Canis lupus familiaris: one gene and its partner. The protein of the gene in region 1 interacts with the protein of each later gene in a biochemical or structural test. Links are inferred from orthologs where the notes say so. Each region holds a gene or a part of one and is shown in the gene's direction. Other genes may lie near its edges. The genes, in order: GTF2B and GTF2F1.

Region 1 (3,815 bases):
GCTTAATCATTTCTAGCTTTCAGCTTAAAGTGAGAAACATGTGACTATTCCTCTGACTTAGAAGCCATTATAGGGTTATTAATCGGCCTAATTTCAATATTGTTGAGTCTCAGGGAATAGGGAGGCCCAAGGAGAGAGGGAGAGAGATGGGGAAACAGCTGCTCAGTAGAACACACAAATTTATTAAGTTTGCTGTCTTAAAAGTGTGCAGTTTGTGGAGCCCCAAAACAATAGTAACATCAAAGATCACAGATCACTGTAAGAAATACAGTGAATAAATTTGAAATGTTACAAGAATTACTAACATGTGACAGAGACCTGAAGTGAGCAAATGCTGTTGGAATAAGGGCGCCAATAGACTTGCTCAACTTGGGTTGCCTTAAACTTTCAGTTTGTTAACAGTACAAAAACACGGTCTCTGCAAAGTGCAGTAAAATGAAGCACAATAAAACAAGGTATGCCTTTTCTTCCCATTAATAATTGTGCTGGCTTTGGGCCTGGGAGAATGATTTTCTAATACAAAGAAATACCCATTTGTAATATTTTGTGAGTTTGTAATAAAAAAAATGGCTTTTGAGTTTTATTTGCTTGCCTTTATAGCACCTTTGGAGATGATCCTTTCATTTTTCTCCTTAGGTCTATTAGGTGATGGTTTATACTCTTGAGCTCTCTCACAGGTACTCATTTACACCATCTCAACCTGGTACTTATTCTACTGAGGATTAGAGAGGAGGCACAGGGTAGATTTCTTGGGCTTATACAGAGTGTATAAGTTATGTTTCCTTAGAAATGTCTATTCATTCAGATTTAAAAATTTTTTTGCATAAAGTTATAAAACCTTGTTTTACAGGGTACAGGAGCTGCAAGTTTTGATGAATTTGGCAATTCTAAGTACCAAAATCGGAGAACAATGAGTAGTTCTGATCGGGCAATGATGAATGCTTTCAAAGAAATCACTACTATGGCAGACAGAATCAACCTCCCCCGAAATATAGTTGTAAGTTTTTGTCTGTCTCCTTTAAGCCATTCTGACATTGACTTAGTGTAATTTATTGAACACATGAAATTTTGATATTGCAACTAATTAAATGGCCTAGAGTTAATTAAACTTAGTTTCTTTGCTTTGAAGGATCGAACAAATAATTTATTCAAGCAAGTATATGAACAGAAGAGCCTGAAGGGAAGAGCTAATGATGCCATAGCTTCCGCTTGTCTCTATATTGCCTGTAGACAAGAAGGGGTTCCTAGGACATTCAAAGGTAAGTTTTTAATTGCAGAGATACAAATATTCTCTGTGTTAAAGTAACAGACCAAAGTCAAGGAACTTGGACACCACATAACTAAGTCAGGTTTCCCTGGTTACGTACGATATCCATCTTGGTATCATTTCCAAAAATACCTCTTTAATTTGTTCTCTGATAAAAATTAATTCTGTGATCTGAACCATGTTCTTCTCAGGCTCTTTTCCCATGTAAAGTCATTTTAGTCCATGTAAGCTCTGTGTTCTTTGCTTGTGAGATCTTTTGAGCTGACTGCATTTTGTGGCCTTTGAGGCCTGTTATCATAAGCCAGAGTATACCTTTGTTACTGGTTAAGTCTGTACACTTGATGCACAGAAAACTATTTCTAAGACCATGCACAGGTCTCTACAGGTGAAGGAGTCAAGCCTTAGAAAACATCAGGGACATTTTTCTCAAGTTCTGTAGTTTGCACTTTCACCCTTAAGTTGGAGGGTTTGAAAGAACTAGTATTTTTCATCCAGTTTGTATTCAAGATTAATATAGGACAGCTTATTCACAGTGCTGCTGTCTGTGACCCTTATTGCTCTGACTTTCTCCGCCAGAGTTCATTTCAGCTTAAGATTTTCATTACCTTTCATTCACCCATGAATATCTTACAATGAAGCAGTGGCTTTTTTTTTTTTAATTTTTATTTATTTATTCTTGAGATATAGAGACAGGCAGAGACACAGGCAGAGGGAGAAGCAGGCTCCATGCAGGGAGCCCGATGTGAGACTTGATCCCAGGTCTCCAGGATCACGCCCTGGGGCTGAAGGCGGGGCTAAACCACTGAGCTAAACCACTGAGCCACCGGGGCGAGGCAGTGGCTTTTATCCTCCTCATCTTTTTGTTTATTACAACTAAAACTAAGGCTTTTGTTAAATTTGTGTTTGGTAGTTTAATTTTTAGAATAACAGAGTCAAATACTTGATCTCATTTTGTTGTTATAGCCTATGACCCCAGGGATTGCATATACATATGACATTGGGTAGCTTGAGAAGTATCCTTTAGCTTTGAGTATATTCTTTTATCTCCTTGATACACACTCCTTACAAAAGATTTATACATAAATATCAATGGAGTTTTGGATTATTTGAAAAAACTTGTTTCTTTGAATTGAAACTTGTTAGTATTTTGAAATAATAAAAACCGACATTTAACTCATTTCAAAGACTTCTTTAAAGTGTGATAAACATTTAAATTAATTGAGGGGGTGCCTGGGTGGCTCAGTCAGTTAAGTATCTGATTCTTGGCTTTGGCTCAGGTCATGATCTCAGGGAGATCATGTGATCTAGATTGATAAGTGCCGCATCAGGCTTCAGGCTCAGTGCGGAGTCTGCTTGAGAATCTCTCTCCCTCCTCCTCCCCACTGCTCGTGCGTGCTCACTCTAAAACTAAATATATCTTTTTTAAAAAAATTAACTGAGAAATTTTAAATTAGCTCTATGGGAAGTATTGAGAGGCATGTTTTGTTCTTTATTGAGGTAACTGGTATGTTATATACCGTGTGTGCCTGTGTGTGTACACCATATATACCATATATACTATATGTGCCATAGGTGAGTTCTAGTTGCACAATATTATACATTTGACCCTTGAACAACACAAATTTGAACTTCACACATCTAATTATATGCAGATTTTTTTTTTTTTTTTTTTACATAGTGCAGTACTGTAAGTGTAGTTTCTCTTACGATTTTTTTTTTTTTTTAAAGATTTTATTATTCATGAGAGACACAGAAAGAGGCAGACACAGGCAGAGGGAGAAGCAGGCTCCATGCAGGGAGCCCGATGCGAGACTCAATCCCAGAACTACAGGATCATGCCCTGAACCAAAGGCAGATGCAACCACTGAGTCACCCAGGCGTCCCATCTCTTATGATATTATTAATATTGTCTCTGGCTTTTTTGTTAAAATACAATCCATAATATACAAAATGTTGACTATTATTGCTAAGGCTTTCATTCAACAGTATGCTACTGGTAGTTCAAGTTTTGGGGAGGGTAAAAAGTTATTCATGGATTTTTGACTGTGCTGGGAGTTGGCACCCTCTAATCCCTGAGTTGTTCAGGGGTCAACTGTAATTTGACATATGTTACATACTACAAAGTAATCACTAAAATCCAGCTACCAGCCATCACCATATAGTTGATTCCCTTCACTCATTTTGCCTACTCAACTCCTTTCCCCTCTTGTAACCACCAGTGTGTTCTGTGTCCATGAGTTTTTATTTGTTAATTTTTTGTTTTCGTTTTCCACATATGAGTAAAATCATATGGTATTGGTCTTTCTCAGTCTTCGTAGCATAATACTTTCTAGTGACAAGATTTTATTCTTTTTTAAGGCAGAATAGTATCCATTGTATTGATATACCTCCTCTTCATCTATCTATTGATAGAAAGACTGTTTCCGTATCTTGGGTATTATAAATAATGCGCAGTGAACATAGGGGTGCAGAAATCATTTTGAATCCTTGTCTTTTTATTCTTCATATTCTTTGTATAAATACCCAGAAATGGAATAGCTGGATAATA
Region 2 (3,815 bases), on another chromosome or scaffold:
CACCACCATTCATCTCCAGAACTTTCATATCTTCCCAAACTGAAACTCTGTCCTCATGAAAGTTATTCTTTGCCCCCTTTCTCCAACCCTGGCTTCCACCATTCCACTTTCCTTCTCTGAGTTGACCCTTCAAGGGACCTCATACGAGTGGGATCATGCAGTATTGGTCCTTTTGTGACTGGCATGTCATTCAGCAGGTCTTCAAGGTTCATCTGTGTTGTAGCATATATCAGTATTTCATTCCATGTTTTAAATTTTCTTTTTAATTTTTTTTTTTAATTTATTTATGATAGTCACAGAGAGAGAGAGAAAGAGAGAGAGAGAGGCAGAGACAGGCAGAGGGAGAAGCAGGCTCCATGCACCGGGAGCCCGATGTGGGATTCGATCCCGGGTCTCCAGGATCGCGCCCTGGGCCAAAGGCAGGCGCCAAACCACTGCGCCACCCAGGGATCCTCATTCCATGTTTTAATTAAAAATAATTAAAAATAACTAAAAAACACACAATAAAATTTGTCAACTCTAAGTGTACTAATCAGTAGTGTTAAGTCCACTCACATTCTTGTATCAAAGAGCTTTACTCCTTCCCATGCCACTGATGAACTTTGCTTGTGCTATTAGATACAATCCTAAGACTCTCTTTAGATAGTCATATTTTTAAAAACTTTAAAAACTTTTACCATCACGGTAAATGGAAACAGCAGTATTATTTGTCATAAAAACAAAGGCACCCATAAACTACCATAAAAACACATGGATGTAAATACATTGTGGCCAAATTCTGTTGTTGCCTGGGAAAGGCCTTGAGCTTGAGAGATGCTGGGATACCAAACCACTGAGAGCTTCTCCTTGAGGGACATAGGACTGAAAGGAGTCAAAGAAATTCAGCTCTCTGCATGTAATTTCAGGGTGTTACTTGCCAGGGTTGTGATCATCCCTCATATCACCAAAGTTGTGTCTATGGTTCCCCTTTGGGGGAGTGCCTGGTGTAGATGCAGTTAGGAGGCCCGGTTTCTGGAGTTAGGCCCCTTGTCACCTCCCACTGCATCCCATTCCCCTGCCCACAGGAGAAACAAAGTCCTGAACCACTTCAGCATCATGCAGCAGCGACGGCTCAAGGATCAGGATCAGGAGGAGGAAGACGAGGAAAAGGAGAAGCGCAGCCGAAAGAAAGCCAGTGAGCTGCGCATCCACGACCTGGAGGATGACCTGGAGATGTCGTCTGACGACAGCGAGGCCAGTGGTGAGGAAGGTGAGGCCGGTGGAGCCCCCGGGGTGACTGGGTGATCCGCACAGCCTGGTGATCTGTGCTTGCGTCGTACTTTGTCAAGGTGTCTGAGTGATGGCCCAGGGAGGTTAGTGCCACTGAAGCTTAGTCACAGCCCCCTGGGAATGAGAGCAGGGCTCAGCAGGCTACACAGGCCACTGGGCAAGCACCTGAGTTGGTAGGAGGCAGAAAGCTACAGGAAGGTCTCAGCTGTGGCCTTTATTGGGGCTCCCACGGGATGTGCAATGCGGAGGGGCAGAGGGTGCAACAGCTTCAGGTTGGCCAATTCAAATAATTCTGGCCACAGGCTGGTTTCTGATTGTCGGTACCCGGTCCTGGGGGATGCAGGGAAGGAGGTGGCGTTCCTGAGTGTGAGAACCGGAGAGAGGGAGTCAGGGGTGTAGACTTGCATTGGTCGGGTTTGCTTGGGAGACGTGGGTCCTCGGGGGCTTCTGCCGAGGCGGACCTCCTCGGATACACCAAATAGGATGAGCGCCAGCCTGAGCCCGCCTCTGCTTCCGCAGGGGGCAGAGCCCCCAAGGCCAAGAAGAAGGCACCACCCACCAAGGGGACCAAGAAGAAGAAAAAGAAGAAGGGCTCCGATGATGAGGCCTTCGAGGACAGCGACGATGGGGATTTCGAGGGCCAGGAGGTGGACTACATGTCGGACGGCTCGAGGTAAGGCAGGCAGGAGGCGGCCGAGGGGTTGGGGCCAGGATGGCCCAGGCCGGCCCTCACCCTCTCGTTCTGTCTTCTAGCAGCTCGCAGGAGGAGCTGGAGGGCAAGCCCAAGGTCGTCCAGCAGGAGGAGGGCCCCAAGGGCGTAGACGAGCAGAGCGAGAGCAGCGAGGAGAGCGAGGAGGAGAAGCCACCCGAGGAGGACAAGGAGGAGGAGGAGGAGAAGAAGGCGCCCACGCCCCAGGAAAAGAAGCGTAGGAAAGGTGGGTCCCCTCCCTGCATCCCAGCCCACCCCCCACCCCCTAGCCCCTTACCCGAGGCGGGGCTGGCACGGGTGGGCACCCCGGCAGCCACACCTCTCCTCTGGCCCCCAGCAGACAGCAGCGACGAGTCGGACAGCTCGGAGGAGAGCGACATTGACAGCGAGGCGTCCTCGGCCCTCTTCATGGCGGTATGGCCCGGCCCGGGGGCGGGAGGGGGCAGGCGACGGGCTATCTGTAGACTCATGTCCCGGACCCCATCTCCACAGAAGAAGAAGACACCCCCCAAGCGGGAGCGGAGGCCGTCGGGAGGCAGCTCTCGGGGCAACAGCCGGCCGGGCAGCCCGAGCGCGGAGAGTGGCAGCACGTCCTCCACCCTGCGGGCCGCCGCCAACAAGCTGGAGCAGGGTGAGCGGGACCCAGCCTCGCTGCCTCCTCTTCTCCCACCCTTGGCCCGCATTCTGCTTCGGGAGCCAAGGCCTGTGTGCCCCCTGGGCCCCCTGCACTGGGATCCTGGCACCCCTCCGCCTGGGCTCCCCCACTTCGAGCACAGGACTCAGCCCTGTTCCCGCTCCCCCAGGCAAGCGGACCAATGAGACGCCGGTGGCCAAGCGTCTGCGGCTGGACCCGGGGCCCCAGAGCCTGTCGGGGAAGTCAACCCCTCAGCCCCAGTCGGGGAAGTCGACCCCCAGCAGCGGGTACGTTGCGGGGGAATGGCAGGGGCGGGGCGGGGGTGTGGGGAGGCCGCCTGCGGACGCCCGCCCACGCCGCCCTCTGCTTGGCCCCACAGAGACGTGCAGGTGACGGAGGACGCGGTGCGCCGCTACCTGACGCGGAAGCCCATGACCACCAAGGACCTGCTGAAGAAGTTCCAGACCAAGAAGACGGGGCTGAGCAGCGAGCAGACCGTGAACGTGCTCGCGCAGATCCTCAAGCGGCTCAACCCCGAGCGCAAGATGATCAGCGACAAGATGCACTTCTCCCTCAAGGAGTGACGGGCGGCGCCCACCCACCTGCCCAATAAACAGGCTCCGTCGCCAGAACCTCCTGGGTGCTCGCATTGTCTGTCACCTGCTCCCTGAGTCCCAGAGCCCCCTTGTCAGTGCGGGATCACCCCGGGCCGTCCTCTGGTCTCCCAGGTCCCTCCCTCCGGGAACCTTCCCCTGCCCCTTGGAGCTGGCTCCTTAGTCCTCAGCCCATGGTGCTCTCTGCGTGTCTGCGTGGGCGGCCGTCCCTCCAGCTGGCTTCCGGTTCTGCCTTCAGCTGTGCCCACCCCCCCCCCCCCCCCCCCCCCCCCCAACCCATGAAGTGCTCGGCTCCCAGGCCCGGCTCTCCATTCGGCTCATCTCTGCTTCCTCTTCAGAGCAGATCTGCTTGTGGTTTGACCCCTTCTTTCACATTTTAAGCGTCTGGTCTTACCACGGTCTCTGCCAGGCACCTGGTTCCTGACGCTTGCGGGCCTCCTGACTCCTCTCCATGATTGATTCTTGTGTTTTACAACTTGGGATGGGGACCTGGCGCAGGGGTTCTGGGGGGGCCTCCTGGGGACAGTCGGCTTTACAGGCAAATCTTCCAGGTGCATTTGGCCTCAGCTTCCCCCCCACCCCGGTGTCC

What was found.
Region 2: the proteins of GTF2B (region 1) and GTF2F1 form a complex in vitro, tested with the Homo sapiens proteins (3 studies listed by BioGRID and IntAct). The link is inferred for Canis lupus familiaris from reciprocal best matches to the Homo sapiens genes GTF2B and GTF2F1.

Annotation. Positions count from the first base shown.
Region 1 is NC_049227.1:60,037,213-60,041,027, forward strand, and holds part of GTF2B (transcription initiation factor IIB), read left to right. Parts: intron 1-850; coding exon 851-997; intron 998-1,129; coding exon 1,130-1,259; intron 1,260-3,815. UniProt on the Homo sapiens protein: General transcription factor that plays a role in transcription initiation by RNA polymerase II (Pol II). Involved in the pre-initiation complex (PIC) formation and Pol II recruitment at promoter DNA.
Region 2 is NC_049241.1:54,176,215-54,180,029, forward strand, and holds the end of GTF2F1 (general transcription factor IIF subunit 1), read left to right. Parts: intron 1-1,064; coding exon 1,065-1,249; intron 1,250-1,788; coding exon 1,789-1,942; intron 1,943-2,022; coding exon 2,023-2,204; intron 2,205-2,315; coding exon 2,316-2,392; intron 2,393-2,470; coding exon 2,471-2,609; intron 2,610-2,781; coding exon 2,782-2,899; intron 2,900-2,991; coding exon 2,992-3,196; 3' UTR 3,197-3,244; downstream 3,245-3,815. UniProt on the Homo sapiens protein: TFIIF is a general transcription initiation factor that binds to RNA polymerase II and helps to recruit it to the initiation complex in collaboration with TFIIB. It promotes transcription elongation.